Linked DNA regions of Mus musculus. The protein of the gene in region 3 interacts with the protein of the main gene of each other region in a biochemical or structural test. Links are inferred from orthologs where the notes say so. Each region holds a gene or a part of one and is shown on either strand. Other genes may lie near its edges. The genes, in order: Thra, Tgs1 and Ncoa6.

Region 1 (9,912 bases), on a different chromosome or scaffold from region 3:
GGCCTACCTGCTGGCGTTTGAGCACTACGTCAACCACCGCAAACACAACATTCCGCACTTCTGGCCCAAGCTGCTGATGAAGGTGACTGACCTCCGCATGATCGGGGCCTGCCACGCCAGCCGCTTCCTCCACATGAAAGTCGAGTGCCCCACCGAACTCTTCCCCCCACTCTTCCTGGAGGTCTTTGAGGATCAGGAAGTCTAAAGCCTCAGGCGGCCAGAGGGTGTGCGGAGCTGGTGGGGAGGAGCCTGGAGAGAAGGGACAGAGCTGGGGGCTGAGGGAGAACCCCCATCTCTTCTCTCCTTCCTCCCATCCTTGGATAGATGCAGCTCCCATACACCCCTGCACTGCCCAGCCCCCTCAGACCCTCCAGCCCTTGGACAGGGCCATAAATGAACTTGCTATGAAAGGCAGTATGGGAGGCTAGGACCCAAGTTCTAGAGTCTCTGGGACCCCAACCTCTAAAAAAAGTAGGGGAAGGGAAGTAGGAAGAATTGAGAGGGACATGCCATCTTGACTGTAGGGTCAGGAGGAATGAGGAGTAGGGGCAGGTGCCCTTACTCACCCCTATACACACAGAGAGCCCTGCCAAGTTCCTTGGCCTAGATTTCCCTTCAGGCCACAGGTCTCTACTTCCCCAAATACCTGGGTCCTGGGTGCAAAGGACAGCTTGGCTTGGCTTGGCTTGGCTTAGCTCCTCCCCTGGAGGCTAAAAAAAAATGGTAGTCATCCTAACTGCACTTTGGAAACCAAGCAAGGGGAGAATATAAATGAAGAAAAACTAGACAGAAAAAAAAAACAAAAAACAAAAACAAAAAGACAAAAAAAGAGAGCGTTAGAGAGAGAGAGCGAGAGAGCGAGAGATGATATTAAGTTATTAGCTGAGGCTGGCCCAAGGGGAAGGATTCCCCCCCCCTTAACCCTGCCCTTCCCACCCCCATGCACTTTGAGAGCTGCCCTTCCGACCCCCAGAGAGAAATGCCCCAGGCAGACCTACAGAGGTAGGGCTGCCGCCCAGAGCTGTGAGAGGATACAACAGGGTCCCGGCAACCCCCTTGCCTTGCCCCCCACCCTCGTGCCCCTTTGGCACCGCACCCCAGTACTTCTGCTCTCTGCCACTTGTGCCCGCTGAGTTCCATCTACCTCTCACGCTGGATGCCAGCTGGCCCCTCACCAGCCTGCCCTGTTGCCCACACAGCTCCCCTTTCAAGTGCCCAGCCCCAGGGGCCTCCTGTCCCCCCACCCCATACCTTGACACCCACACAGGAAAAACTGTGGCCCGGGCTCCTTCCCTCTTCATATCCTGCAGTATTAGCTACAATCCAGATGCTGCTGTTGGGGTGGGGTGGGGTGGACATGTGTGTCTCCCAGAACCTCCACCCCTGTGGGACTCTTGTTTCCTGTCTGTCTTCGGGGCTCCCTTTGCTCTCCTTCCTGACTCCCACTGATGCGCTAGCCAGACATAGGGCAGGTTGGCATGCAGTGGGGGGTGTTTCTATCAGTGGCACTTAGCTGGGGCCCAGGGGAGGAGACAGTTGGCTCTCCTCCCATTTTTTTTGAAGCTCTTTAGGCCAGCCACCCCTCTGCCCCTGGGAACCCCTCTCCCCTCTTCTTTTCTAATTCAGGGACTTTGGCTTGAGCCACCTCCCACCCTTTGGTGAGGAGTGCTCTGTTGGTCTGCACTTGGGTGAGCTGCCTCCTCCTCCTCCTCCTCCTCCTCCTCCTCCCTTTGGCTAACAGCCCACTCCTCTGCAGAGAGAGAGAGAAAGAGAGAGAGGGAGGGAGGAGGTGGCCCTCCCAGAGTGGAAGGGAAGGGAGGAGGAGGAGGAACAGAGCAGACCAGTGGCCCTGGGCTCAGGGCTGCATGTCGGCAGGGATGGATGGGTGGACATAGATGCCCCCCGGAAGCCATGGGGAATGGGGCAGGGGGCGGGGGAGGGGTGCCAGGGCTTCCTGCGCTTTGCACTATTGGGGCAAAAATGTCTTAAGCAGTGGGGAACCTGCCACCCCACTCTGACCCTCAGCCTGCCACAGCCCCTACACACACACACACACACACACACACACACACACACACACACACACACACACACACACACACACACACACACACACACACACGTGGAAGGCAATGCTTTGCTGTTCCCAGGCAGTGTCCTTTGCCACTGTTCAGGTGTTCCAACTGGGCAGAGGGCCTGGAGGAGCATCTCCTGTCACCTGTGCATGTGCCTGCCCCACTCCTTGGGGCCCCTGGGCCACCTGTGCTATCTTCATCTCTATCTTCTTTTCTCTCTCTCCCGGGGTACTGATTTCTGTATTCCTCCAGTCCCATGGATAATACTCTCATACTTCCCTCCCATACCTGGGGACTCAGTGGAGTTCCTGACCTGCCTGCTGTCTCCCTTCTTCCCCTGACTCCACTCCCCTCCATTCCCATTCTCAGCCATAGGCATGGCCTCTTATAGGCACTTGGGAATTCCCCCCTCCCCCCAATCATATGAGCTGTGAGCCCCTGCCCCTCAGCCCTTCCCCTCCCCCTCAGTGATGTGGAGTGTATGTGTGTGTTCCTTCGTGTGAGTGGATGAGTGAGTCTACGTTGTGGGAGGAGCCAGAGAGACTCAGGAGTGCCACGCACCTGCTCTAGAGAGGCAGCTGTCCCAGTCCCTGCCATGGAAGTGGGGGACAGGGCCCTCTCCTGGGGGCCATTGGTGCTAATGGGGGGATGGCCTTGGCATGGGTGCTTAGCATGCCTTCCCCCAATGTTGGCCCGGGGCACTAGGGCAGGCCGGGTGGGGCAGCAGGTGCAGTATTGATGGGAGGGGTGGGTTGCTGGGAGAAGGTTGGGGGGGCCAGGCCAGGACAAGGGGGTGCCAGAGCCATGACCACTACCCTGCCCTACCACTGCCTCTCCATCTCAGTATTCCCCCCCCCCCATCACTTATAACACACATACCTCATCCAGCCTCCTCCCTGCTCAGACTTGGGGAGGGTGGGGGAGGAGGAGCCCCTACCCCTTCCCCGGGCGGTGGGCTGGGAGAGAGCAGGGCGTGTGACATGGACACCGTCCGTCCATCCATAAGGGGGAAATTACTTCCTGCCCTAGGAACTCCTGGGTGGAGGAGGGGGACACTACCCAGAGGCGCTACTGAATGTATGAGAAGCTGGTGCTGAGGTGGGGGGAGGGGTTGTGGCTAGAAACAGGGAAGGAGATAGGTCCTTTCCCCAGAGATGGGTGGGACCGGCAGGGGTGACTTGAGGGGCTCCTCCTCCTGCCCCACAGTTGACAATCAGTATGTCTGTTATGTGCGAATTTTTCACCCCGTTGTGTTTTGGGTCAGGATTTTAAAGAAAGATATTTTTATGGTAATTGTTGCTCGTCTATTTTACTATATATTTATGTAATAAATATATGATGAAAATAACCCCCTTGGGCACCCCCCCTTAGACTTGCGTGCTGTTTCCCCATATTCTCCCATCTGCTGGCAGAGTACCCACCCCACAAGCTGACCAGATGGAGAGGTGTCTTCCCCCCCCCCCACACCCCCTTGGCAGTAGTCCCCCACCCCCACCCCAATTCCCCAAACGAGCACACATCACAGAAGCCAGCTCAGCTGTGAACTATTGGATTTGAGACAGGAACAGAACAAATCGAGGGGCCAGAGGAGGGTGGAGAGAGCAAGAGTGGTTTAAATAGGGGAGGATGGGAGCATGGCGGTGGGGGTGGGGGAAGAGTTATTTACAAGAAGGCTCAGGGGGCCAGAGGCTCATCTTGGAATATTTTATAACAATATAAATAAGATTCTGGTTTGCTTTTCCTTTTCGTCTCGTAAAGGAGAGAGAAGTGCAGAGTTCGATTCTGTACAAGGGGGCAGCGGCAGAAGGCCGGCCGGGCGGGTCACTGGGCGTCCACCCGGAAGGACAGCAGCTTCTCGGAATGCATGTTGTTCAGGGTCCGCAGGTCCGGCAGCTTGAGCAGCAGCTTGGTGAAGCGGGAAGTCTCCGAGGGCCGGTTCTTCAGCACCAGAGCCCGAAGAGCCCGCAGCAGCGTCTCCTGGAGCTGCTCCACCGAAGCGGAATTCTCCATTCCCGAGCGGTCTGTGGGGAAGACGACAGCAGTGAGGCGAGCTCCCTGAGCTCCTCCTCTGACACGGAGGACACGGAGGTCTGCGAGGACCAGGCAGGCAAGGCAGCCTCTCCCTGAGGCCCCTCGGAGGGCAACGGGAAAGGAGAAGGAGGGCGCTACTCCTTCTCCCTGGGGGGCCTCTGCCCTAGAGCGGGGCCACGCCCACACGCTGGGAGCATGGCCACAGGCTGGCCACCTCCCACTCCTCGAGCCCACCCTCCTACCCTGAGCATGCCACTCGTGGCCAAGCTCCCTTGTTATTTGCTCTGTAGTTCCCTCTGCCTGGGATGCCCTTCCCCCTCTCTATGCCTGGCAGTTATCTTGTCCCTTTGAGGCCCCACATCAAGTGTCACCTCCTTCCCCAGCTCTCCCGGGCAGAAATAGTCGTCTGTGCTTACTTGGTTCATGCTTCTTGTGTGACACTTCTCGCTGTTTTATAATTAGTCGGGCATGAGTCTGTTTCCCAAGCTAGACTGTGTCTGAATCATGTCTGTAGCCCAGTGCCCAGTGCTGGGCCTGGCATAGAGTAGGTTCTCCATAAAAGGTATGTTGAATTGAACTGCGTGTGCCTCCTCCAGGGTCAGGGGAGAGCTTGGCTCACCTGCAGAGACAAGCACCACCGCGGTGAATAGGCCCAGCTCCTCCTCGGTAAGTGCCAGGGAGTTGAGCTTCTCGCTGAAGTCAAACATGGCATTGAGCAGGTCGCCCATGCCCATGGCACCGAGCTCCTGCAGACTGTAGGTTGTGCGGCTCAGGAACATCACTGTCTGGTCCTTCACGTTGAACAACGATGCAAAGCGCACCATCAGCACCTGAAGGGAGGGTGGACATTTTTTGAGTGAGATGGGAGGGGCATTTTGCCAAATGACCCCTAGAGCCTGCTAATAACTTTGAGGGGTGTTTCCTTAGATTGTCAGTAAGGGGGTCAGTCTCTGATTGGTCAATGAGGGATGCAGGTGGGAGTGCCCGCCACTTCTGGAATGTAATTTAACCGAAGGTCACCAGCTCCGGCCTAGAGTAGAGGAGAGTTGTCTCTTTGGTTACTCTGATGCACTGAGTTTGGAGGCAACACCAGCCTAGAGGATAGACTTCCCACAGACCCTGAGGTGCCGAGCTAGCGGTGTTACAAGTTCTATCTCCTCAGACAGAGAGATAACACAGGGCCAAAGACTCTGGGAAGCCCTTCCCACTCCAGTCACCACACTACTGGGGCCCTCCCACAGTCAAGAGCAGGGAACATAAAAGTACCGCTCACCTCAAAGGTGCCAGCCTTAAGCAGGGTCACCTGGTCGTGCTGAGAAAGGTCACGGAAGCCTGGGATGTGTTTGGCAAACTCTACCACCTCCCGAACGGCAGGCGTGAAGCTCATAGAGAAGTCTTCCCAGATCTCCTGCACAGTCCGGCCGCTGCGTCCATGGGGATACATGTTCATGGGACATGCCTAAGAGGAGAATGGAGTAAGGAGGGACATGTTAGCTGGGTGGGCTCCCCAACAGGACTGGTTCCAAGTACTGTCTGGGCTAAGAGCTGTGGCCCTTGAGAAGGGGTCTCTCACCTAAATCGGTAATCAGGTGCCGAATGGTGATTAAGGATTCCCAGGTAAAACCCAGATTTTGGGGTAGAATGTCCTTTCCTGGACAGAAGTCCCCACCCCCAGCCTCTAGGAACACTGGCTGTCTTTCTCTAGTCCCAATCTTCCAAGGCCCCCTCGCTCTCTCCACACTGGCTCCATGCCCTCACCAGCAGAACATTCTTGGTGTTGCCTTGCCGTAGACTGTTGGCAGGTGCCTCCCCTTCTGGGGCCGAATATACGTGGGTGGGGCACAGACGGTGCCCATTGCTGTTAGGTTGGTGGCAGCTGTGGTGGGTGGGGCCAGAAGGCCAGGTAGGCGGGTAGGAGGAAGGGCCCTGGCGTAGACCATTCAGCGCTTCATTATGACGCTGAGCCGCCAAAAGGTTGTTGTCGTTGGGGGCAGACGGGCATCCCTGACTCTCCCAGCGGTGTGGAGTTGTAGCTGAAGGGCTACCTGATGCATGATTGGCATTGAAGTTACCAGGTGAGGTGCCTAACTTGTCATGGGCATAGGTGAAGATTTCTCGATGGGCCCGGGCGACCTGGGATATCACATCCTCCATGGTGGGCTCAGGGCTGGGAGACCTGGGTGGTGTCAGCTGTTGTGGGAACTGAGAGAAGCCCACCAAAGGTGTGGGGGCTGGTGCAGGAGGAGGTGAGGGGCCCATGGAGCCAGAGGTGGGATGTGGAGTAGGTGAGGTCTCTAGAGGGCACAGGCTGCTCAGTTGGTTGTTGGCCAAGTTCATGGCGCTCTGCATCTCGGCAAGCATCCGTTGCTTCTCTCTCTTGGGGATGCGCCCAAAACGCACAGCTGCAACAGGGCGAGAACCGTGTCAGGAAGTCCTGACATACTCACATGCGTCTCTTCCTTCCTTCCGCCCGAAAGGGCAAGCAAGACCCTAAAAGCCTGGGGGGTTCCACATCAAAACTGAAACCAGCAAAGCCACACCCATTCAGGGGGTGTGAGAGGAGATGACCAGGGGGTGGGGGTGGGGGGGGATATGAATGGTAGAAGAGTGTGTGTTTGCCCAAGAGGTTAGCACCTGGGTATCCTCCATGTAAACAACACTCACAGTACCATCCTTCTCAACTTGAGGCTCTTTCTTAAACGGAGGGATTAAGGCAGAAGCCGGGTGGAAGAAAATGGGGCGAGAAGGAGATATGGGAATACTGCCTTACCATCTCTAGACATGCCAACGGAGAGACACTTCTTGAAGCGACACTGCTGGCAGCGGTTGCGATTGATGCGAACGATGGAGCAGTTTTCGTTTTTCAGACACCGTTTGTACTGGATATTCTGTTGGATGCTCCGGCGAAAAAAGCCCTGGAAGGCAGGGGCGACGCATGAATGTCTTCATCTAAGCCGAGCCTGTGCATGCATCCCCTGCCCAGGTCCTCAACCCTAACCCGCCTCACCTTGCAGCCCTCACAGGCGTGCACTCCATAGTGGAAGCCTGAGGCCACGTCCCCACACACCTTACACAGTAGCACCATGCCATTCAGCTCTGTGGGAAGAGACAGGCAGAGGGTAATACGGACTCCTTCTGGGCTCAAGGTTCTAGGAGGGGAAAGCTGAGGGGCTCTCACGTCTAGGTGACTGGACTGGACTGGATAGGAGCTGGCACAAACTCTTAAGAGAAATTCCAAAGGCCAGAGCACAGACCCCCATCCCCTCCCACCTCCCCAAGAGTAACTCTCAGATGGAAACCAACTCTATCAACTACGTCTGGGCTCACTTCCTTTCCCCCTACATCAGCTGGGCATTGACTTACTGGTAATGTTGCTTGTGCCCTTGCTGGGGGACACTCGGCTGCTGTCTTCCATGGCCACTTGTAGACTTCCTGGGGGGCTCCCGTTATAGAAGGAGGAGGAGGATGAAGAGGATGACGATGATGCAGAAGAAGGGGAGCTATCATCACTGAGACTGGGTGGCGCACTGCCAAAAGAGCGGGCAGGGTCCTGGGTGAGGGAGCCAGTAGGTGATGGTGGGAAGTATGTGGGACAACCTTGAGTCAGGGACTGGAAGCTGCCATTGGAGCTGTCACTGTAGAGGGACTCCGGGCTGGTCCGGCTCGGGGAGGAGCCACTAGAGCCAATGTAGGTGATAACACCACCTAAATAAGAGAACACAAGGGGAGGGTATCAGCCATCAAGTCTGTCATTCACACAGTCATCATCAGAACATTAGACCCCCTAACCTTGGAGTAAGAAGCAATTCTCCCACACAGACTAAATATAGCACGGCCGGTCAACCTAGTCGTTATTAGAAACTCTCCATCACATGCTACTTATGATAACCAAGTCCGGCCCCAAAATACCCATGGCCATTGCTTTGCACAATACATTAAGCTTCTGGTTTGGGTGGGAGGTGTAACTCCAGTGGCCATCTCATACATGGGAACCCCTGAGCTAGCTGCTTCCTGGGGAGTACTGACAGCAGCTAGGGTCTTAGTTACAAGGGGGGTAGACTTGGGAAGGAGATGGACAGCTGACAGTTATTCATACACACACACACAAAAAAAACTAGCCACTAGTTCTACACTGAGACCTTTCCAGTGATGGACCCTGCAGCGTGATGGGTAGCTAGCCTAGTGCGAGGAAAATGGAGGTGTACAAACGTAAAACGGTCACACCTTGCTTTCAAACCCAAAGACATATTCTCATAGAGTACTGCAGGGAAGGACTCTCTGTTCAGCCTGGCTCTGGCCTCTGAGAGATGAGTCACAAGAGACTTAGAAATGTGACAGATAAGACTCAGATGAGTTGCAGGAGATGAAAGGGAGAAACAAAGTATCCATTCTAGGGATTTAGGAATTCCCCTTCCTTCTCAGCCCGGTGGTAACTTTAGCTCTATAGCCACTCAGCCAGCGGCTCTGTCCCTCTGGTTACATTGCGGGCCAGGTGATTCGGCTCCTGTGGTATGCACAGAAGAGAAGGGCCACTTGTCTGCCACACCTCTGCCAAGTACTTAGCCTGGCCGGCCATGGGTGGAGTGGGGAAAGGGGAGGATCCTCAGACACGTGTGTGAGGTGACACATGCCATGCCACCGAGTCGACAGAAGCACATGTCTTGCTCACCCACTGACACACACTAAACCAGGCAGGGCAACCTTAAAATAGCTCAAGGTTGGTCAGGGTGAACCCTGCCTGTAAAATAAGTCACAGAATGGTTACCCGGCTATGGTTTCACGGCTGGGTTGGAGGATGGGTTATTTATGTGGACCTAAATGAACTTGACCTAGTTAATCCTGAAAGAGGGCATGAGAAAGTCACTAAAAAAAAAAGTCTTCCAACTTTGAAGTGATGGGCAATGCTCAAAAGACCCTAGCTCTCCATCTAGATGTGTATTGCTACCGATTAGCTTTCCAATATAGAGGAAATCAACTCTTGTCTCTTGGTCTCAGTTTTCCTTTCTATGAGTGGGGGGAAAAAACCCTGGGCGACGACACAAAGTAGTACGTTGTCAACCTTGATTCTAAGGTATTCCTGTTTGGGGGGGAGAAGACATTCATGGCATGCAAAGTCATACTCGGAGAACAGTAAACTTTGGAACATGGAAAAGTGAGTCTGAATGCAGAAAATGAATGTAGGCATGATTAGAATAAAGGGGTATAAGAATAATCTGGTGTGAGGTTTAGCTGGGACGTATAAACTTGAGGCCAAACAAGTCAGGGGTGCCCCCATATTACTCAAGTCTCGGTCATAGAGGGTAAGGGCCAGGCAGTCTGAGAGGAAAAGAAGCCAGGCGGGGGCGGTGAGTCAGCCCAGCTTCACCCAGATCTAGGCGGAGAAGGGCGGGGCGGGAGCCTGGCCCTCAGCTGGCCTCACGTCCCCACTCCACGTGTGCCCCTCGCACGTGGCACCCCAACGAGGAACCCCGGAACTCGAAGCACCGCCTTCTCCGCTTCCCTTCTGTCGCAAGGAAAACCCCGCCCTCGCCCCGCCCCTCCCGGGCGTCCTGGGTCGTAGGCTGGCCCTAAAACCAAGCTGGGCCGGGACAACTGAGGGGAGGAGAGAAGGCGACAAGCGTTGCTCCGGCAACTTGAGGGGCGGAGCTCATTATGTAACGAGGCCGGGAGGCAATGACCAATGAGATGGCGGCCACGGCTTCTACTGAATGAAAACAAATGCAGCACGTGGGCCCGGCTCTGCAGCCATGTGAGCCCTCCCCAGGCTAAGTCGCTGTGGGTGCCCTGCCTGGAGATGAGTCCCAAG
Region 2 (11,104 bases), on a different chromosome or scaffold from region 3:
ATCCCACAGAGTTGCCACCGTTTTCCTTGCACCATCCCACAAGTTATGAGAGTAGGCTTCTTTTAATACATTCTTCCTCTTGTAGATATGGAGGAAAATAATAGTAAGGTAGAGAAGAAAGATGGTAAAATAAGGAAGTATTAAAAGTATCAGTGGGGTGAAAACCCACAAAAGATGGTTTGCAAAATTCAGATAGTCCTCCAATTGCTCCACACCCAACCACTCCTCAAGCACATAAATCATACAGGTCACATAGGGCACAGAGTCCTGTCCTGCAGCACAGGTTTGGTTGTTATCTATCATGTTCTTAGATGAAAATCCCAAATCCTGTCTCTTTCTTCATTGCCATATGTTCCAACTTCAATGCCTGAAGGGAAAAAGATGCAGTCATTCTCTTTACAACTATGAAGTCAAATGTTAAGTCTATTTTGCTAAAATAGTCATCTTTAATAACAAAGATAAGTAGGGTTTTTTAACACTTAACTGTGAGAATGATAAGGTTTTCTATATAAAATTATGAAGTGTTGGGTTTAGCTTTTGAAATAACTTGCAAGCTGTGAATTAAGAGGGAAAAGGTGATACAGAATGAAATTGCCACTCAAATTTATAATCTAACCCACATCTTCCATCGACCAAGCTCAAAATTTCACTCTTTATTCTGGGACTAACTGTGTCCTTCACAAAGGAAAGCATCAGCGTCTGATTCAGTAAAGTGATCCAGAGCTTTAGGAAATGATGGCTTATCCACATGGATAGTTTCTTTGATAGAGAAGCTGGTTTACCTAAGAGTTTATCTGCTCTTTTGACATTACAGAATTAAAAACTGCACTTTTTATCTTACAGTCACTAAAATTTCTGGTAAAATGTAAATGACTGAAAACACAGCTACAAAAATATTGCATAAGCTCACTCTCTAAAATAATTACTTGACTTACCAGATTACACAAATTACACAAATATCTTGTCTTTAGCTTCAATGCATATACTCTGAAAACACAATAAACAAATGAAATATATTACTAAACCAAAAAAAATCATTAGTCCCTTAAGTTTACATTTCCATGAAATAATGGCAGGAGATAGCCACAAATGTCTAACAAATAATGACAGCCCTAAGCATGTCACAAGTTACGTTCAGGCTACTCTGCACAGCTTCTATTAAGGCCCACCCAAGAAACTGTTGTACTACAGCTATAAATATTTACATCTATAAGAGGGAAGTATAAAGGTAAGATGTCTAAAGGGCTGTCACTTCCTACTAACTTTTAATAATAGGCTACAAGTCAATTCATCATGATGTTTGATAATAAAACTAAATTATCCTTAGGACATAATTACCTACGTAAGATTTCCTTCCTTCATTCATATGTTCACTGCTACAAAGTCTGATCTAGAGAAGTTTAACCGTCATTTAATATTAGATAATTTTAAGAAATCCATCTCAAAGTCTTTGTGACAGTCAGGAAAGGAGTAAATAAAAGAGAATAAACCAGACGCTCACACAAGAATAATTAAATACTATCTTGTTACCAAGGTTATCTTGCTGATAGCTTTGTAACAGAGCACATACTTTGACTAATAGAGGACTTGGTCTGATCTCCTTGAAATGAACAGCATTTTTCTTTGGCAGCACTGGGTAACACAGTAGATATTAAGCTCCTCAACCTACACTTTATTATATCGCTGCATTGGTTACCCTTCTCATCACTAAAAGTTCTGTTAAAACATAAATGACTGAAGGCATAGCTACAAATATATTGCATAAATTCTCTCTCTAAAATACTCATCACTGCCATCAAATACCCAACAAATAAAGCAGATGACAATAAGAAGGGTTGATTTCAAAGGAAATCAGAAATCATGGCAGGAAGGTATGGAAGCATAAAAGACTTGGTCCTGTGGCAACAAATAGGAAACAGAGAAGGGAATGCCAGTGGTCACTATGATTTCTGCTTTTCTCCTTTTTATTCAGTGCCATGGTCAACCCCTTCAAAATACTCAAAATACTCTCTCAGACACAGCCAATGGGATGCTTCACTAATGTACCAGGTGTTTCTTAATCAAATCAAGATCAAAATTGATAATAAAATAATAAAAGTTGTAATAAAATTCAGTCACTATACTAACAAATCCACCATATGAGTTAAACCATAATTTACCAGCATTTGACCATTTAAAATTCAATATAGCAATATTTACTGCCTTTAGAGGCCAGACAGACAGCTTCTGAAGAAGCTAAACATGTTACTATATTACCCAACAAATCTACTACTACATATATTCCCAAGAAGACTAAAGACATACCATTCACACCAAAACTTGTGCATTAGTAGCAGAATCATTCATAATAGTTGAAAAGTAGATTAAGATGCCCACCAACTGATGAGTGGATACAAATGATATAGCCATATAATACAGCACCACTCAGTCAAGAGAGCAGAGACCTGCTGCAACATGAGTGAACAATTAAAAACAAACAAAATGACAAATGGCCAGGCAGTTTGTGTCCACTGATATGTCATACCCAAAACAAGGTAATTTGAAAAGTTAGTGGTTGCCAGAGCTGGGGAATGTCAAAGAGATAACGAAATACCCTAGAATTAGAGAGTAAGGATGACGGAACCCACTAATCTACACAGTATAAAATGGTACATATTATTGTGAACTGTACCTCAAAAATTGTTTTTGTATTTAACACTGCTAATAAACAAAATGTTTAAACTTTCATATAGGTTAAAGGAAATTGCTTAGGCCCAATTAACAGTTTGAAACTTTGGCTGTTTTTGTTTAAGGCACTGACTCCAATAGACTTGTTTACATTTTAATAAGGTTTTGGGGTTTTTTTTGGTTTTTTTGTTTGTTTTTTTGTTTTGTTTTGAGACAGGGTTTCTCTGTATAGCCCTGGCTGACCTGGAACTCACTTTGTAGACCAGGCTGGCCTAGAACTCAAAAATCCGCCTACCTCTGCCTCCCAAGTGCTGGGATTAAAGGCGTGTGCCACCACCACCCGGCTAATAAGTTTTAGCATCTTGTGACTTTATAGCTTTATTTAGTACCTCCTTAGAAAACTTATTAATAGAATTATAGTAGTCTCCTTTAACCACAAAGTGTACATTCTAGGACTCAGGTAGATACCTAAAACTAAGAATAGGACCAAGTTCTATATAGGTTAAGTAACCACTGTCAACCCCAAAACCCAAGCTGCTCCAAAACTGAAAAATCTGAATGCCATCAAGTAGAAAATTCTACACTAGAAAATTCACAACCTCATAGAGTAAGCCTCAGTGAAAACTGCAGGTATATACATATGTGTGTGTATGTGTACATATGTATATATATGTGTATATATATGTAATGTATATAGATATATATTACCTCCAGCTATGAGCACAGTGTACATTCAAAACCTAAGCGAGATGAAGAATATCTTTAACAAAGAAAAAGAATGATCTCTACAACAAAAGTTATAAAAAACAAGGCCAAAATATTAAGAAGATATAAAAAATGAAAACATTCCATGTTCTTGTTTTGGAGAAATTAATGTTGTTAAGATGTGCATACTAGTCAAAACGGTATTTGGATTCAGCAAAATTCTAATAAAAAAATCAGACATTTCACAGAAATAGAAAAATACATTCATAGAACTAGAACAATCCCCAAACTCACATGGAGACACAAAAGACGAAATGTCCAAAGCAACCCCGAGCCCTAGAATAATGCTGAAGGCATTACCATACCCACCTTCAATGTAACCAGAACATGGAACTGTCATGAAGACATGTAGACCAAGGAAACCAAACAGAATATAAAAATAAACCCACGCTCTTGCCACCAATTTCTTTTAAACAAAGGCAGCAATGTTATTTTGCCCTTTAAAGTATTAAAAGAAAATATAGGGGAAACTATGCCCTCCAAAGAACAGACATCCAAAGCAAAAAAAACAAAAAAAAAACAAAAACAAAAAACAAAAAACAAAAAACAAAAAAAAAAACTATTAGTTGAACAGTAGATTTATTTCTAGAGTCAAAAGATTTATTTCTAAGTAGTCAAAAAACCCAAATAATCCCATTAAAAGGGGGGCTTGAATAGTCACTGGCTATCAAACATATGAAGAATAGATAGCAACACTGTTGTTGCTACTCTTGACTGTCAGCTTATGGGTTTAGAACCACCTAAGAGACAAACCTCTGAGAATGTCTGTGAGGTTGTTTGGTTGGTTTTGCTGTTGTTAATGGAGGTGGGAAGTCTCACACTAACTCTGGGTGGTGCCATATCAGTCTCTCATACAAGGAAGTTAATCTCAAAGATTAACAGCGAGTCAGGACAAGTGCAGGGAAGTATATAGACATGGTGATTTAGTGGGTGTGGAGCATAGCCAAAAGGAAGACTTAACTTTTAAAGCACAGTAGGAAAACTGGATTACAAAGTGAGTATCCAAAAACAGCTAAGAGAGAACAGTTTGAATGCCCCAACACAAAGAAACAGTGTCTGAGGTGAGAAATATATCGTTTCCCCGGATCTTCTCATGAATGTATCTTCTCATGATCTTCTACATGCACTGAAATGCTGCCCCGTGACCCAGAAATATGTAAAATTATTACATGCCATTGGCTTTTTAAAGAATTTTAAAATGTTTTTTTTTAATCACCTGACCCTGTGGGGAGGATGCATGAGTGAGCATGTGAAGGCGGAGGACAACTTTCATGCACCCGTGAATGTTTTGTCCCTTTAACCAACTCGAATAACCAATAAGCCTTCTCCTCACACCCATGTGTCACTTATCAATAAAAAGAAAACAAACAACAAAAACCCCTTGAGTTCAAGCTTCTTTCTCCGGGTTCTGATGTACATTACCTTGCAAAGATTTTGTTTTTCAATATAAAAATGCTCTTCTACTTTTGGTTAAAGTCCCCTACTCTTTTAATGACTACTCTTCTACTGCATCATAGTCTAACTCTAGTCACTCTCTCCAATAATGCTGTAAGACATTTAGTTATTTTTGAGACAGCATCTGTGTGGACCTGACTTGCTCTGCAGACTAAGCTGGCCTTGATCTCAGAGAGATCTGTCTGCTTCTGCCTCCCAAGTCTGAGATTAAAGGTGTATACCACCATGCCTATCTATAATTCACATCTAGACTGGTATATTGAATTTAGGAGTTATGAAAGGAAGGAATACTGCAGTTGTAGATATACTGCACGGCGCAGGCGCAGAGGCCGGGAACTAGTCCGGCTTTCCGCTCCGGGCCCCGCGACCAGGACACCACGCCTGCTACCGGCTAGAACAGCATGGAGAAGTCCATGGGGAGCTCGACGCACCTGACAAGAAAGTCACAGGAAATCGGCGACCTCGGCAGCTGGTCGGCGGCAGAGCCGGGAGAAGCAGACACGCGGGTAGTGCCGGTTTCCTTTAACTGCCTGAGAGGAAGAAGGCCGAGCCACATTGGGTGTAGGACCGTCGGTCGCCCCGCCCCTTCCGGTAGCTGCTGTCGCTGCTTCCGGTAGCGCGGCTGGCTGGCTCCCGGCTCGAGCGTCCCCAGGCGCGTTCCGCTCCTCTGCCCGCGCGAGTTACGCCTTTCTGTCTTCAGCAACAGCGCCCGGCCCAGTCGCGGACAACACCAGAGCGAGCCCGGATAACGAAATGTGTTGCGAGAAGTGGAACCATGTGGCCGAAATGCTGCTCTTCATTGAAGACCGCGAGGAGGAGTACAAGATCCTTTGCCTCTGCTCCCGGGCATTTGTGGAGTAAGTCGCGACGGTCCTCTCTCACTTTCTGTCCTTGCTCAGGAATGGGGGTGTCGCAGAGTTAGAGAGAGGCTTTCCAGAAAGCCACATGACCTGATGTCTAAGAAACTCGAAACCCCGCGGGCATGAAGGAATGTTCTACTGCAATTACTAAAGGGAAGATTAATATAATTTTGATTTTTTTTTAAATGTGGTACCTTATATGTGTCATTTCGGGTTTCCATAAATGAAGGGCCAATCTCAACATTGGTTGAGTCGGGCGAGATGGCCCAGGTATTGGCCATGCAGAAGGATAGCAAATTCAAGACCATCCTGAGCTATACCAGTAAGATGGAGTGTGAAGTGTAAACTAATACAAATAGATTGATGAGATGAAGGATCAAATTAGAGCTCTATTTGCAAACTGTAAAATCCTTTCCAACAAAAATTTATGTATCTGAAACGTCTAATTATTTGAGATAAAAGTGTTAACTGTTTATGGCAGTTTTAGAGACATCTCTGGGGGAAATGTTGGTTTCATGTTTAAAATTGCCAGAATAGAAAGTACCTTCTGGTGGGAAAAGCATTGACAAATTTTAAATTTGAAGGTACTCATTTTCATTATGTACTTGAGGGAAGATATCTGAAAGTTTCCTCAAAAAAGAAATATAACACCATGTTAAATTTAACATTTAAAAAATGTACTAGGCTCATTTGCACAGGTCCTGCTGGTTCAGAGTTGAACAGTCTTCTAGTGGGGGAGTGAGGATGATTATAAGACCGAAAAGAAGACTCAGAGACAAAGGTTAGAAATCCGGAGGGCTGCAGGCCTGAACCACACTGGCCCCAAATGTATTTCTCATAACCTTAATACACTTTACAGTATCATGGGAAACAAAGTCACAAACTAGCACAGACAATGGCTGACAGAGAATGGATATCTGTTCCCATCCGGAGGCCTCCCTGTTCCTTCCACAAAGATTAATCGAACGTTCAGCCTCTCTCCTTGAGCCTCAGTTGTAGCTTTTTGTTCCATGCCGTTGGCAGGCCAGGAAATCTGTCAGCCTGACCTGCCTTGACTCCGCCTAACAGACAGGCTTTTACAGAAGCAGACAAAAATGACTCCCAACGCTCAGGTGTACATTTAATTCAGTAAAGTTCTTTTTTATGCTCCTATTAGATGCTGGTAGGTAATGGAATATAAGATGGGACCAGGCTGCGCTGAATTCACTTTCTAAGCAAAAGAGATCAATATTGCACTAAGGTAGCGGTTTGCACAATTACTCAGTTAACTCAACTGGATAAGAGACATGTCTGTGGTGCTTTGATAGCAATCTGGCAGGATGGACAGTGAAAAATATGAAGCCTTGGGAGAGGAAAGGAACTCCTCCATTTAGAGTCTTCTTGAAGTGCCTTTTTGGCAGAAAGTCGAGAAAACCAGTATCCTTAACAGAATTTTATGTAAAAATGGCCTGAGTGAAAACATTACTTTTATGTAAAAATAGTTTGAGTAAGTATTAAAATAGGCTGGTGTGAATACTCACGCCTTTAATCCCAGCACTCAGGAAGGGGGAGGCAGAGGCAGGCTGATCTCTTGAGATCGAGGCCAGCCTGGTCTTCAGATAGGTTTTAGCACAGTCAGGGTTCTGTTACACAAAGAAAGCCTATCTCAAGAAGAAGAAAAAAAGAAAAAGAAAAAAAGGAAAGGAAGAAAAGTTGGACTGCAGCAGTGAGGTGGCTCAATGAGTAAAGGCATTTACCACCAATACTGAGGACCTGGGCTTGATCCTCAGGGTCCACGTGGTGCAAATAGAGACCCAACCCTAAAGACTTTAAGACATGGTCTTACCAAGTGACTGAGTGACTGGCTGGCCCAAAACTCACTACGTAAACCAGTATAATTTCAAACTCACAGAGCTTTGCCTGTCTTTGGCTCCCAACACTAGGATTAAAGGTGTGTGCCACCACATTCTGCCATATGTATGTATGTATGTATATATGTATGTATCTATGTATATGTTCTGTTTTGTTTTTTTAGAGACTGCTAAAATAACAATTAACCCATGCTTAAACATAAACTTTTGTGGTCTTACTTACTAGTTTATAGATGTGAACCTGAAATTTTCTGGAAATGGCTCTAAGACTAACGTTTGTTCACAGTAAAAACATCTTAATTTCTCATTATCAGTTATAATCCTATTTATCATCAGGGGCTTCTCTGTAATCTTACATGAACTTCTTATTGACCCACTGAGATAGAGCTTCAGAAGCCACCAGAAACATGGCTGATGAGTAAACTGAGCCAAACATGGGCTCAGGTCTGTATACACTTGGTTCCCATTAGTGGCACTGTTTGGGAAGGAGGTAAACCTTTGCTGGAGGAAGTAGATAGCTTGGGCAGTCTTTGAGAGTTCATAGTGTTGCCCACTTCTAGTTTGCATTCTCTCTGCTTCATGTTTTCAGTTGAAGATGTGCTCTCTCAGCTTCTTCTTCCAGTTGCCAGCTGCCATGTCTCCCTGCCATTATAGACTCTTCTCTGGAACTGTAAGCCAAAATAATGTCTTCCATAGTTGCTCTCTCTCCATCACGGTGTTTTATCACAACAGAAAGTAATTAGGACAGAAGTTGGTACCAGAAAATGGGCTGTTGCTGTGAAGAACCTGGCCATGTTGGGGTTTTGGGTTGTTTGTTTATTTGTTTTTGTGGTGGGTTTTTGGAGGAATGTGGAAGACTTTGTACTAGAAAAGAAGTTGGATGCTATAAGCAGAGCTTAATAGGCCATTCTAGTTAGAACCTGATAGGCATTAGTGTTGAGAATAAGATAGATTGTAGAGTCCCAGCTCAAGAGGGAATCAAGATTTTCATACTAACTTATCCATTCCTGTGCTGTTTTGGCAAAATCTGGCTGTTTTCTGTCCAAGTCCTGAGAACTTGCCTGAGGCTAAAGTATTGAATTTGTTTCTTTCAGAGAGAAACTACCAGCAATGACTTTTTCAGCCTTTGTGTAGGGGTTGCATCTGTGTAACATGTTGCTTGGTCTCCCTCAGAGACCTCTGAAAAGATTCAGGAAGAATCCAGAACCCTTCACTCTTGACTTAATAGCTAGTACTACATAGAAAACACTGCAAATTTGGCAGTGAAATTGAAATTAAAAGTCCAGCCTTATGACATAGAGCTACAGAATTTGGTCTTGCTTTGGTCCAACATGTCCTCACAGTGCCCCCATTTTTCTTTCTGTAACATTGTATATTGAAGTATATAATTTGGTTTTTGATTTTCCCGGGGGTAATGGTTAAGTGAATCTTCTAGAGTTTCAAAAATCTAAAATGTGAACTATAAATTCAAAAGCTAAACTTCAGTTTCTACTGAATGTGGATATTCATTGTATGTCACTCTAAAATTGGACCACAGTTATAAATTAAGGACAATCCAGGCTTCTGTACAATCCTATATATTTTGACCCCCTGCTTACTTCACTGACTGTCTTCTTAGTCTTTTCCTTCAGTTTCATAGGCTTTAACTGCCTCTAGACTTTACACAGAGCTTGGGTTACTAGGAATGCTTTTTCCCATTCACACCTACCTGTTTGTTTCTTTTAGACCTGTTTCCAAGGCCATTTCTCCAAAAAACCTCTGTCTATAGAGAAAGGTTCTGTCAGTCATAGTGGGGCAGAAAGTGCAGAAATAACTGTGCTGTCACCTACAGCACCCTCGGAGGACTTCTTAGAGACAGCTACTTAAATGAAGACAGAATGTTTAACCTCACAGCAGAAAAGACTCTAGGAAGCTGAGGTTTTGAACACAGAGGTAAGCATGAATGTTGATAGAAAGAAGAATGCATATAAAAAGGAAACACCCCTAAAGGTCTGAGCTTCTCAAAAGTATCCTTGTGTCTTTCACGTTAGCTGTATTAGTTGTTGCTGTGACAAAGGGCTATGACCAAAAAGCAACTTATGCAAGAGTTTATTTTGACTTTTCCAAAGGAAGAGTCCATGTCAGGAGGCATGCCAACAGACAACTGCAGCAGAAAGCTGAAAGTACAGACTGGAAGTGGGCAAGGCTGTGAACTCTCAAATCCTGCCGCAGTAATGTGCCTTCTCCAAGAAGGATACACCACCTTCCTAAACAGTGCTGCCAACAATAGGACCAAGTGTTTAAATACCTGAGGCTATAAAGTGGACACTTAACATTCAGACCACCACTTTGTGTTGTCTGTAGGCTCATTGCCTCTGTATGGGTGTGGGTACATACAATCATGTGTCCATAAGGAGGCCAGAGGACAATGCCTAATGCTTTCTTCTTTTCCTCTTTGCCTTATTCCTGTCAGGCAGGGTCTGTCACTGAAATTCACAGCTTTCTATTTGAGATAGACTGGCTGGCCAGCAAGCTCCTAGGTTCTGCCTGTGTCTTGGCAAACACAGGCATGCACAGCAAAGGTTCTTACCCATGAAGGGATCTCTTCATCCCCTACCCACTCTATTTTTGGCAGCAGTGTTGTGATTTGAATGAGAATGTCCCCATATATTTGTATGATTGAATCCAGTTAGAGGATCTGTTCAGGAAGCATTAGGAGTCTCACTGGGATGAGCTTTGAGATTTCAAAAGCCCACAACAGACCCAGTTAGTCTGTCTGTCTGTACACCCCTCCCCTTTCTGCTGCCTGTGACCTGAGAATCAGGACATAAACGCTTCTTTTTAAAGGAATTGCCTTGGTCATGATGTCTTTTCAAAACAATAGAATAGTGACTAGAAAGAGAAAGTGAACCTAGAATTTAACAATTATGCTATAAAGAGGTCAAAAATAAATACATGAAAAAATTTTCAAATCTAAACTACGTAGAGATTCCATCTCACCATACCATGACTGTCCTTAAGGAAAAAGCAATAGTCCTAGCAAATATATGTCATGTTAGAACTGAGTGAGAAAAGCTTTTTGGAACTGTTGGATGGAATCGTCCATTATTATGCAGGAGCCTCAAAAATACTAAAAATATAGCTACCTAATAATCCAGACAGATCACTTCTGGAAATAGACCCACGAGAATCTTAAGTCCACATCTTATGGAGATACTTGCGAATCCTGTATATTGTAGGTAGCACTAATCATAATAACTAAGTTATGGAGTTGATCTAGGTATCCGTCAGCAGATGAGTGGATAAATAAACTGGCCTATATACACAGTGATGTTAATCCATAAAGAGCAATGAAATTGTATCATTGAAATGAACTGTGAATAATCATCTTAAACAGACAGAATAAGCCAAACTCAGAGAAATATCAAATTTTCTCTCATTTGGAATATAGATTTCATGTATATGTGCATACGTAGCATATACACAGCATGAGAAATAAAATGGGGTATTTGGTGTATAAGTACAATA
Region 3 (11,129 bases):
TTATGAATTAATGCTGTTTAGATGAATTAATGACTTTATAGAATTCAAATAATTTTAGGAAGAAAGTTTAAGGAGATGGTTTTAGTGTTAGAGTCAAGAATAGAATGTGCCCCTCTTCATAGAATAGTAAGTAAAGGCTGTATGATAAGCTTTCATAAATTATACTAAGAAGAGAAATAGATTTGAGAAAGATTTGTGATCAAGGAAAACATTGATTCTAGGTCAGGTCCAAAGATGAAACCACAGGTGAGCACTATGATAAAGCAAGGCTATGTGAAACTGTTGTTTTGAACTTATAATGGGCTTATAGAATGAAACACTGCTTTTGACATTCTACTGTAACTCCCCATTTGTGTAACATTTTATCTATGAGGTAATTTTATAAAGAACTTTTGTGTAAGAAGGTATAAAAAGGTGGAAAGAAGAAATAAAGTATGGCTTTTGGGGCTCTGCTCCTCCACCCAAAAAAAAAATATATATATATATACATACACACACATACATACATACATATATATAAATATATATATGTTATATATGTCTGGGCATACATATGTATGTAGGTACATGTGTATGCATGTACACTTGTGAAATGGATGAAACAGGTGGTTAGGCCCAGCCAAAGTGTGAATGTGTGCATACATGTGCGCCTGCCCCCCCCTTCTTTTTTCCCTATGAAACTGCATCAGCTTCTGGCCCCCAAGACAGTAAGAGAGAGTTAGAAGGTCAGAGGTCATCAGCCTTTGGCATTTGACTGATGCTGTTTCCCACCTCAGTAACTGAATATCAGGGCTGGTCCCCAGCAATATAATACAGCACTTGTATTTCTAAGGATACAGTCCAAAGAATTGAAAGCACAATATGGAAGAGTATATCCACATTTACAGCAGCGTTATTTATAACAGCTAAAGCACGGAAGGAATTCAAGTGCCCAGCAACAGATAAACAGTAAGACGATGTAGTATATACATACATGCTGTGGAATATTTGGCCTGAAACAGGAAGGAAATCCTAGCATGTGCTACAGCTCATGGACAAACACTGAGAATATTATGCTAAAGGAAATAAAACAGGAAATAAAGATACAGGATTTTGCTTTGATAGGGTAGGTAAAAATAAAGCAAGGGGGCTGGAGAGTTAGATAACTGGCTGCTTTTCCAGAGGATTAAGGTTTAATTCTAAGCACACAAGAGGGAAGTCACAACTGGCTGTAGTTCTAGTTCCAGAAGATATGATGCCCTCTTCTGGCCTCTATGGACATTGCATGCATGCAGGCAAAATACCCATACACATAAATCTAATTTTTTAAATTAAAAAAAAAAGTGCAATGGTGCTTATTAAGGGCTTGAATAGGTAGGGAATGAGAAGTTATTATATAATAGTTATAGATCTTAATTTTATAAGAGTTATAAAAATAGCTACTAGTAATTGTTGCATAATATTTTAATTGCATTTAAGAATCATTGAGCCATATATAAAAATCATAAAGATGGCAAACTCTACTATATGTATTTTACAATTAAAGATTTACAAAGTAAACTGAGGTAGTAGTATTGTTTGTAATTACATTTCACAGATAAGAAAGGAAATAAAAGCTATCTGGCAACTCCAAACAAAATATTTTCCCTTATGTTATAAACTCAGATCAACTAAACAGTTCATACCCTTTATTCAATTATATCTCTCTCTTTCTTTTGAGATAGAATTCCTCTGTGTAGTCTTGGCTGTTCTGGAACTCACTCTGTAAACAAGGCTGGCCTGTGCCTACCAAATGCTGGGATTAAAGGTATGTGACACTGCCCAAATTACATCTTTCAATATTAATAAAATAGCTCTATAGGAAAATGCTTTCTCAAAATCCAGATATCCATGAAGAGCGTTTCAATATGCCACCTAAGCCCATTCCAGCTCTTAAACCATTAGATACAAAATATTAACACAGAATTTATTGTTGTGATGTAAAACAAGAACAAAGCAGACCACCTGCTAAGGGTGATGGGATTAATATACTTACAAATTTTAAAAATGCTTAGACTATGTTTAGTCAAAGTGCTCTTAAAGGTAAGGAAACTGTGACCCAGAGAAAGGCTAAGCAAGCTGAGTTGAAACCTAGTGAAATCAGACAAGCTCTAAGTGTTAAGCCTGCTTTTCCATCACATTTGGAGACATGTTTCAATACACTGAAAAACTTTAGATCTTGGCTCCACAGGACAAAGACACTAAAGTTTCTTCCAATCTAATGATTACTGGAAACTTATCTGTGTTCTGCACACACATCAGATAGCTCTATACTAATTTTAATGTTAATATATTTGAAATTTATTTAATTACAATATACTTTACTAGCAACTTTTAAAACTAGGCAAGGTAGCCTAAACCTGTAATCCTAGCATCATGGTTGTAGGCAAGTAAGCATGTCAAAGCAACAAGAAGAAAGCAAAGATTAATTACCCATGTGTAACAAGTTGGGCACATTCTTTAATATTGCATCCAGTTTCCATTTGAAGTCTTTATCATCTATATTTCCTTTGAAGGCTACAAAAATTGTGGAATCCTCCAAAATACTATCACTTTTCGTGTCATCATCTTCTAGTCCAGAGTCAAACTCCACCTCTGAGTCGCCCATTGTAGATGAACACAAGGAAGTATAGATGTCTTCAAAGTTTGGAAGGTCATCCAAAACCATGGTGTATTATTCCAGAAGTATATGCAAAGTGAACAGTAAGTAAACCTTCAGAAAAAGAGAGGATGCAGAGTATTATAAACTATCATTATATAGTCAGCATATCATTTTTATTTAATATGTTATCCATACCTCTATAAAAGATGTAATTTATTTACCAGATAAAATTTCCTTTCATAATATTATTTGCTACTTTTTTTTTTGTTAAGACTAGACTATTGGGAGAAATATACAAAGTGACACAGGAAAATCAATAGATCTGAGTGTTAGCAGTGCTCACCTGCAACCCCAGCGCTTTGGAAGATCATAAGTTGAGCTCACCCCAGGCTGCAGAAGTAAGCTCTTGTCTCAAACAACAGCACCCAGAAAAATCCTTTATAAAATAACTATACTTCTCCAGCTACATTTAAGAATTTCTAATAATATTAAAAGTAAATAAATAAAACTAACAAAAAAATTTTAAGGCTAAAAAGCTGCTGCTTACTTAGCAAGAGAAAGACTGAGTTTTGAAACTGCCTAAAAACTGTAGGTATTTAGCAACCATTTCAAAGTAGGACAGAAAGAAAAATAACTTAATGATATATGTCATTAAAGTTAAACAAGAGTAAACCAAACCAAAATTAGTAGCTGGAAAGCCATGACACAGACGGGTGAGCTGACTTAGCAGGTGACTAGGACCGCTCCTAAGCTTGCCGATGAGTTTGACCCTCAAGATCCATATGACGGCAGGAGAGAATTAAACTACAAGTTGTCATCTGACTTAAACACACACCAAGCCCACTCACACAACAGTAAATAAACAGATGTTTAAACATTTTCTTCAAAAAAAAAGGGGAAGATAAAATAAATGTTAGGATAGGTGTTAATAAAATGGATTAAAAGAAAAATATAAAAGATTAACGAAACAAAGAGTTCTTTGATAAGATAACCAAATTGACCAAAATAAATAGACATGAATTAAGAAAATGAGGAGGCTGAAGATGCAGCTCAGTTGCTATAGAGCTTGCCTAACATGCACAAAGCCCTGGATTTGATCCCCACCATCACACAAATCAGGCATAGCGATACATACCTATAATTCCAGCACATGGAAGATGGAAGCAGGAGGATCTCAGAAACCCAAGATCATATCTGGCTAAAAGGGAGTTTAAGGCCAGTTTGGGATACAAAGAGGCTTGGCCTCAAAAAAGATAAGTATACATACATAATATATATTATATACATAATACATAGACTAAAAAGGAGATATTAAAGCAGTGAGATTCAAAGAGGATCTCTAAGGAATTTTTGAAAACTTCCAGTAAGTTGTTAAAACTAGAAGGAACTGGTATGTTTCTCAATACATGAATTACCAAAATTAAACCAAAAGGATATAACCTAAAAAAAAAAAATTAAAAAAAAAATAAAAATGATCACCATACAATGAGGGCTGGTGAGATGGGTTAGTGTGTAAAGGCACTTGTAGCCACGCCTTGTGAGGACAGAGAGAACCAACCACCTCTGTGTGCTGTTTGCTAACCTCTGTACCTCATGGTGGCATATGCACCTACAAGATATGCACATACAATAGAAATAAGATGTGGAGGCTGGAGAGACGGCTCAGCAGTTATGAGAACATGTTGCTCTTAGAGGATCCAATAGTTTTGTGTGGGTGCTAAGAAGTGAACTTGGCTTCTCTGCAAAAATAACAAGTATCCTAACCCCTAAGCAACTCTCCAGCCCCACTTCACCCCTGGTCATACTGATTATAGTGCTTGAACTCTTTGTTGTATGTTTGCTTGTTTTGAGACAGGATTTCTCTGTGTAGTTCTGCTGTCTTGGAACTCATTTTGTCGACTTTGCTGGCCTCAAACTCATCATAGAGATCCACCTGCCTCTGCCTCTGCCTCTGGAGTGCTGGAATTAAAGGTGTATGCAAAATATAAAATAAAATAAAAGTATGTGCTATTATATCAGCCCAGCTAGTGCCTGTAGTAAATAAAAAGCATAGAAACAAGCAAGGCAGAAGTCAAATCATTCCTACTTACAGATGTGATCACTTACTTAAAACATACTAAGAACGTCTCAAGGTAACTATTAAGAGTTAGGTAGTAAATACTTTCAAGAAAATATCAGGGATATAAAATTAACCTAGAAAACCCAGTAGCAGGGCTAGTAAAATGGTTCATCAGTGAAGTGCTCTTTGAGAGGACTGAAGCTCAGTTCCCATGTCAGGTGGCTCACAACCTTGCCTAGAACTCCAGCTATAGGGGATCTAATATCCTCTTCTAGACTCCACAGGCACCAATAAACACACATGCAAATAAAAGTAAATTGCTAGGTTCTCTATGTACTGATAATATGCTGGGAAAGAAATTAGGAACCCAGGTTCAATTCCTAGAACTTACATGGAGGTTTTCAACTGTTTGTAACCTCAGTTCCAGGGCATTTGTCACCCACCCTTTTCTGGCCTCCTTGGAAATTTCATGAATGTGTTATACAGACATACAAGAATGCAAAATATACACAGTACATATAAAACAAATTTAAAATAAAAGAAAAACCAAAAAGGTAGACTTAAAAAAAAAAAGAATTTCTTACATAAACTTTCACTTACCAAAATGTCTTAATTATCATTTATCCAGATCATCCTCTAAGTCCAAGCAAGGTGGCATCTTTAGGGCTTATAGGTCAAAGTAGCAACCAATCAGAATTCTTTTAGAGAGAGAGAGAGAGAGAGAGAAGAGGAGAGGGAGAGAGGGGGGGGGGAGGGGAGGAGAGGGGAGGAAGAGAAACAGTATTATAAAGAAATAAGATTAAAAATACGAACAATAAATAAATACATACATAAATACATAAACTCTAGAGATTGTTAAATCAGTTTTCACTAGAAAACTTATCCCACATGTAGAATGAAGAAGCAAAACTCAGGAACCCCAAGTAGCTTCATGTAAGAGCCACAGAACTGGGAATTCTGGCTTTCTTGCACCCTCCAGACTTTTACTCTTAACCTTGCCAAATTAAACAAGGAAACTACCTATAGATATTTGGAGACAAATATTTTTCTTTTTACAAGTCTTAAAAGATTTTTTTGTGGACATGGGTATTTTGCTTATATGTATATATGTGTATCACATGTGTGTTTAGTACCTATGGAGGCCAGAAGAGGGTGTCGAATGTCTTGGAACTGGAGTTACAGATGGTTGTGAGCCACCGTATCAGTGCTGAGAGGCAATCCAGGTCTTCTGGAAGTTCAGCCAGCGCTCTTAACATCTGAGCATCTGTCCAGCCCCACAGAATATTTTCTATTCACATTAATACAAAACTCACATCTTCTAACATAATTTCAAACTTATTTTTAAAATCCATAAAGTATAAATATTTTCCTTATTTATTCACAATATCTTGTAGTTTGTTTGTTAAGGAGGGCCCGACCTGCACTGAGAGGAAAGCAGGTCTGTGAGAAGAGTCGCTTTACTGTCAGGCGTTTTATTTTTTTTAAAGATTCATTTATTTATTATATGTAAGTACACTATAGCTGTCTTCAGACACTCCAGAAGAGGGCATCAGATTTCGTTACGGATGGTTGTGAGCCACCATGTGGTTGCTGGGATTTGAACTTGGAACCTTTGGAAGAGTAGTCGGTGCTCTTAACCACTGAGCCATCTCACCAGTCCCTGTTTGTTTGTTTTTTTTGAGACAAGGTGTCTCTGCATAGCTCTGGCTGTCCTGGAGCTCACTCTGTAGACCAGGCTGGCCTCAAACTCAGAAATCCGCCTGCCTCTGCCTCCTGAGTGCTGGGATTAAAGGCGTGCACCACCACGCCCAGCTCCATCTTGTAGTTTTAATTAAAATTTTAGTTTAAATTTTAAAGCATTCTTTACGGCAAACATACAAATTATACATGGGAAATTAATTTTTTTGGCACGCTTCAGAAAAAAATTACCTATCTTAATAAGACAGTATCAGACTATAACATTTTTAACTTTGGTGTTACAATTTTGTTATTGCCACATACTGGTTAAAATCTTTGAAACATCTATTTAATGTGTGCATACATACATACATGTGTAACTGTGCAAAGGTGAAAAGACAACTTGTGAGAATCAGCTTTTCACTGCCACCAGCCTGGGGACTGAACTAGGGTCTTCAGGTTTGGTGGCCAAGTGTCCCTCTCCTCAGAGAAACTATCTTATGAGCTCAATATTGATTTCTATAATCTTGAAACTTTAGATGAATATGTACTAATAAATAACAAAAACTGTTATTTAATTGCTTTTTTAATTAAAGAAAAAGGTACTTTTAAAGTTAGGCCATAAGGAAAAAACCTCAATATATCTTAAACAACAATAGAGTGAGTACTCAAATACTCTACTAACAATGAGTGAGTACTCAAATACTCTAGTCACAATGAGTGAGTACTCAAATACTCTAGTAACAATGCACTTACGTGATTATCTCAAAAGAAAACCAACAAACAGAGCTCTATCTAACAGCAATAGCAAAACCTATAGATTCAGGTTAAGAAAAAAATACCAAGCAGAAATGCAATATTTCTAGAGAACTATAAATAATACAACTATAGGAACCCAAGAATACAGGCAAATTAATGAGGAAGAAAATTAATAATCATAAAATATCTACATGAGTTATAGGGGGAAGTAAGTAAATAAATAGCTGCCTCAAAGTTAGAAAAAAATCATTAGAGTGAGCTAATGCGCTAAAAGGGAGCCAGTGACGACATCAGTAAACTAGAACTCAATTAGAAACAGAAGGACAGACATGGTGGGGCTTGCTTGCAATTAGCCTTCAGGAGGCAGAGGCAAGAAGGGCACAAATTAAAGGCCATAATCAAAAAACGGGTCAGACCCAGCGGCTCAGGTTGGTAATCTCAGCACTTGGAAGGAGGAAGCGCTTAGGACAGGAGGATCAGTAGTTCAAGGCCAGTCAGGAACAAAGAGAATCTGAGGCCTGCATTGTATGAGACAGTGTTTCAAGTTAATAAAACAGTAAAAAAAAAAAAAATCCAATAAAACAAAAGTAAACAGGTAAATTATTAAAAATATTTGAGGCAGGATGTGCCTCTTGACCTTGAATTCTTGGCAATCCTCCTGTCTCAACTTCTCATGTGCTGTGATTACAGGCATATGCTACCATGCTCAGGTCCAATACGTCAATATTGGAAGACTATTTTAAAGTTATATAACTTGTTAACTTAAGAAAGTAAAGAAGGAAAACAAGCCAGGCAGTGGTGGTACATGCCTTTTGAGGTCAGCATGGGCTACAGACTGAGTTAGGAAAGCCAGGACTACATACAAAACTATTTAAAAAAAAAAACAACCCTTTACTGCCCCCACCATGGAAAAAAAGAGAAAACAGCAAGCAACCAAAGTAACACAAAACAGAAACAAAAAAGGATTGCTGACTGTGACTATTTTGGCCAAGATTTTGTTCCTCATAGTATAAATTTTTGTTTTGTTTTATTTTTTTGAGTCAGGGTTTCTCTGTGTAGCTCTGGCTGCTCTGAAATTCACTCTAGACCAGCCTGGCCTTGAACTCAGAGATCCACTTTCATTGGCCTATTGCGATTAAAAGCACGTGCTACTGCCAAGCTACAATATAAATGTTTTGATATTCTTAGGTTGAGAGCACAGCAGGAAGGTCTTTAAGCCCAAAGATCTCCAGGGAGACCAGGAATGTTATACACACAGGATTGTCTTTCCAAGGGGAAAGACTCAAAACCTGTTTTTCCATCCAGAAAGTTGGGAATTGGAAGTGACTAAGCTGCTGGTCAGTGGTATCTGTTGGACCAGACCACAACAAGCTCCAATATAAACTCAGGAACAAAAGTAGTTAGTAATCTAAATGATCCTCACAGCTAGGGGACTCCCCAAGCTCCCACAACCCAGACAGCGATACTCAGTAGTAGGAATGACCCTTACATTATCTGTATAGCCAGAGGCTCCTCCAAGCTCCCACAACCAGGACCAGAGATGGCTTATAGCACAGATGACCTCTCTGCTGTCAGTATGACGGAGACAGGCCAGACCCTTCCTTAGGCCATTAAGCTTGTACAGGTAGCCTCCTGTCTTTAGAACCCATCTTCTCGGAAAAAATGACATGTACCCTGAATTAAGTTTCAGTGTAATTGTTCCTTGTGCACCAAGGATTGTATTACATCAGGAAAGCTATTCCAAATTATACCGTTTAAATTTGTTGGGAATACACCACACAGCAACAGACTCCCCAGAGTCTTGATCTAGGTTAATGAAGTAAATCTGAACCAATTTTTCATTCTCACTTCTTTACAGTTCATTTCCCTGCCATGACCATCTTCAGGGTCCCCTTCACCCCTAAGCACCATATACAAACTTAATGAAAAACAAAATACTTCTTTAAAGAGGACAGATGTCTAATGGCCTGAAGTTGTTCCAGAGTATACACGTATCCATAAAAACCTTTCAGTGCTTTTTAAAATTGCACTTATGATTTGTTTCTATGTGGGCATACTCATGCCACAGCACTCACATGGACATCAGAGGACAGCTTCAGAGTCACTGTTCTCCTTCCACTTTTATGTGGCTCAGTGACTGAGTGCAGGTAATGAGACTTAGTAGCAGCCCCTTCACTGAATGAGCAATCTTGCCAGCCCCCCAATTCATTTAATGAAGCAAATATACTCAAAGCCAACACAATCTGTAGGCAGAAAGCTATAGGTCCATTTTTTTAAATTATGTGCTCTTACACCAATGTGTGAGGTTCTAAATCAAATTTTAAATAGACCTTGGCAGTACTTTAAAGGAAGTTTGTTAATGGAATTCAAAGCAAACTCCGTATCAAAAAACTGAGAGAAGATGTTATGTGATTATATCCATTAATGTAACATACCCCTGCCTCCGATACTGGGTATTGACTCTCGAGTTTTACACGTGCGTTTTATTTGGGAGTGAGGGGACACTATTAGGGTGGCAGTTTACTTCTTTATTTAGAGACTGGGTCTCACTCATTATGTACACCACATCTGCCTGCCTCTGCCTCTGCCTCCTGAGTACTGGGACTAAAGGTATATGCCACCATTCCATCTTAGGCTGGACTAGCAATGTGTAAGGCAGGCTAGCCTTCAAGTCTTGATCCTGTTGTCTTAGCCTCCAGCATAGCTGGATTTTATGCTTACCTCATCTGTCTGACTTAATCATTCATTCTTGATAATTTTCTAAACTTGAAAAAAAATACAATCTTTTCTTTTTTTCTAAGTACTTTATCCCATTCTTGTTTGTTTGTTTGTATCGTGTATATGAGTGTTTTGCCTGCATGTATGTCTGTGCAGGATGTGTATGCTGTGCCTGTATAATCCAGAATAAGGCATCAAATCCCCTGAAGCTAGAGTTACAGACAGTTGTATGCTGCCTACAGACAGTTGTGAGCTGCCATGTGGATGTTGGAATCAAACCAGGGTCCTATAGAAGAGAAACCAGTGCTCTTAACCACTGAGCCATCTCTCCAGTCCCATGCAATGTTTTCTTAACATGACAGAAGGCTAGCATGTAACTCTGTGGCAGAGTACTTGCATATATGAAGCACATCACACACACAGAAACCAACAAATACAGATCAGCAGTCTGCTTCATAGGAGAATAGGGGTCTATCAGTGAACACAGATGTATTAAAAAAAAATCAGTAAAATAAAACAGGAGCAATAAAGGTAAAAAAAAATCTGAACAATAGAACTATATTATAGTTGCTGTTATTCTAATGCTAATTATGTTTCCCCAAAAACACTGTTTGCAGGAGAAGTCTGCACGTAGCTTCTGGGAACCTGCTCCCAGTTGGTTCTGATTGGTAAATAAAGATGTCAACAGCCAATAGCTGAAGAGGACAGCGAGGTGGAATTTTAGGATTCCTGGGCTTGGGACCTGGAGCAGGAAGAAGAAGGATAAGCCACACCACACTGGTGAGTGTGGAGGAGAGGAGAGATGCCATGCCTGAGACCACTTCAGGACAGAGAGGCATGGCCACCACGTGAAGGAGTCAGGAGAGCACGGCCCAGAGGGCTGCCCAACTAGGTCCAGGGCAGCCAAGACAGAAGATAAAACTTAGTAAGTAGTAACTCGGAATTATGGGCAGGAGGTGGGTTCTCTCAGTAGTGGAGGTGAGGCAGTGTCTGTGCTGTTTAAGGCATATTAAAATAGAAAGGCTGTGTGTGTGCATTTCATTCGAGGATGGAAACCACTGGGGCAGGCAGTGAACCAACCTGCTGCTGAGACTGATTTAAAAAATTATTATTACACTGTATTCTTGAAAGTCAAACAAAAGACAGATGAGAAAATTTAGCAAAGCAGCACAATGCAAAATTAATATATAGAAAAATAGCAATTGTTACCCATATAATCATCAACAGGTGGGGAAACATATCACTTTTTAATAGAGACAAAAAATTAAAACCTTTAAGAATTGACAAAAAAGAAAG

What was found.
Region 1: the proteins of Ncoa6 (region 3) and Thra form a complex in vitro, tested with the Homo sapiens proteins (2 studies listed by BioGRID). The link is inferred for Mus musculus from reciprocal best matches to the Homo sapiens genes NCOA6 and THRA.
Region 2: the proteins of Ncoa6 (region 3) and Tgs1 form a complex in vitro, tested with the Homo sapiens proteins (2 studies listed by BioGRID). The link is inferred for Mus musculus from reciprocal best matches to the Homo sapiens genes NCOA6 and TGS1.

Annotation. Positions count from the first base shown.
Region 1 is NC_000077.6:98,764,324-98,774,235, forward strand, and holds the end of Thra (thyroid hormone receptor alpha), read left to right. Parts: coding exon 1-82; coding exon of another isoform or gene 83-205; exon of another isoform or gene 206-3,833; coding exon 3,834-4,202; 3' UTR 4,203-4,683; downstream 4,684-9,912. Other genes in the region: Nr1d1 (nuclear receptor subfamily 1 group D member 1), read right to left, coding at 3,897-4,096, 4,726-4,936, 5,380-5,565, 5,865-6,508, 6,877-7,021, 7,114-7,202, 7,470-7,811.
Region 2 is NC_000070.6:3,569,386-3,580,489, forward strand, and holds the start of Tgs1 (trimethylguanosine synthase), read left to right. Parts: upstream 1-5,493; 5' UTR 5,494-5,640; coding exon 5,641-5,744; intron 5,745-9,322; exon of another isoform or gene 9,323-9,529; intron 9,530-11,104. Other genes in the region: Tmem68 (transmembrane protein 68), read right to left, coding at 1-303. UniProt on the Homo sapiens protein: Catalyzes the 2 serial methylation steps for the conversion of the 7-monomethylguanosine (m(7)G) caps of snRNAs and snoRNAs to a 2,2,7-trimethylguanosine (m(2,2,7)G) cap structure.
Region 3 is NC_000068.7:155,435,409-155,446,537, forward strand, and holds the start of Ncoa6 (nuclear receptor coactivator 6), read right to left. Parts: upstream 5,376-11,129; 5' UTR 5,280-5,375; intron 2,732-5,279; 5' UTR 2,687-2,731; coding exon 2,452-2,686; intron 1-2,451. UniProt on the Homo sapiens protein: Nuclear receptor coactivator that directly binds nuclear receptors and stimulates the transcriptional activities in a hormone-dependent fashion. Coactivates expression in an agonist- and AF2-dependent manner.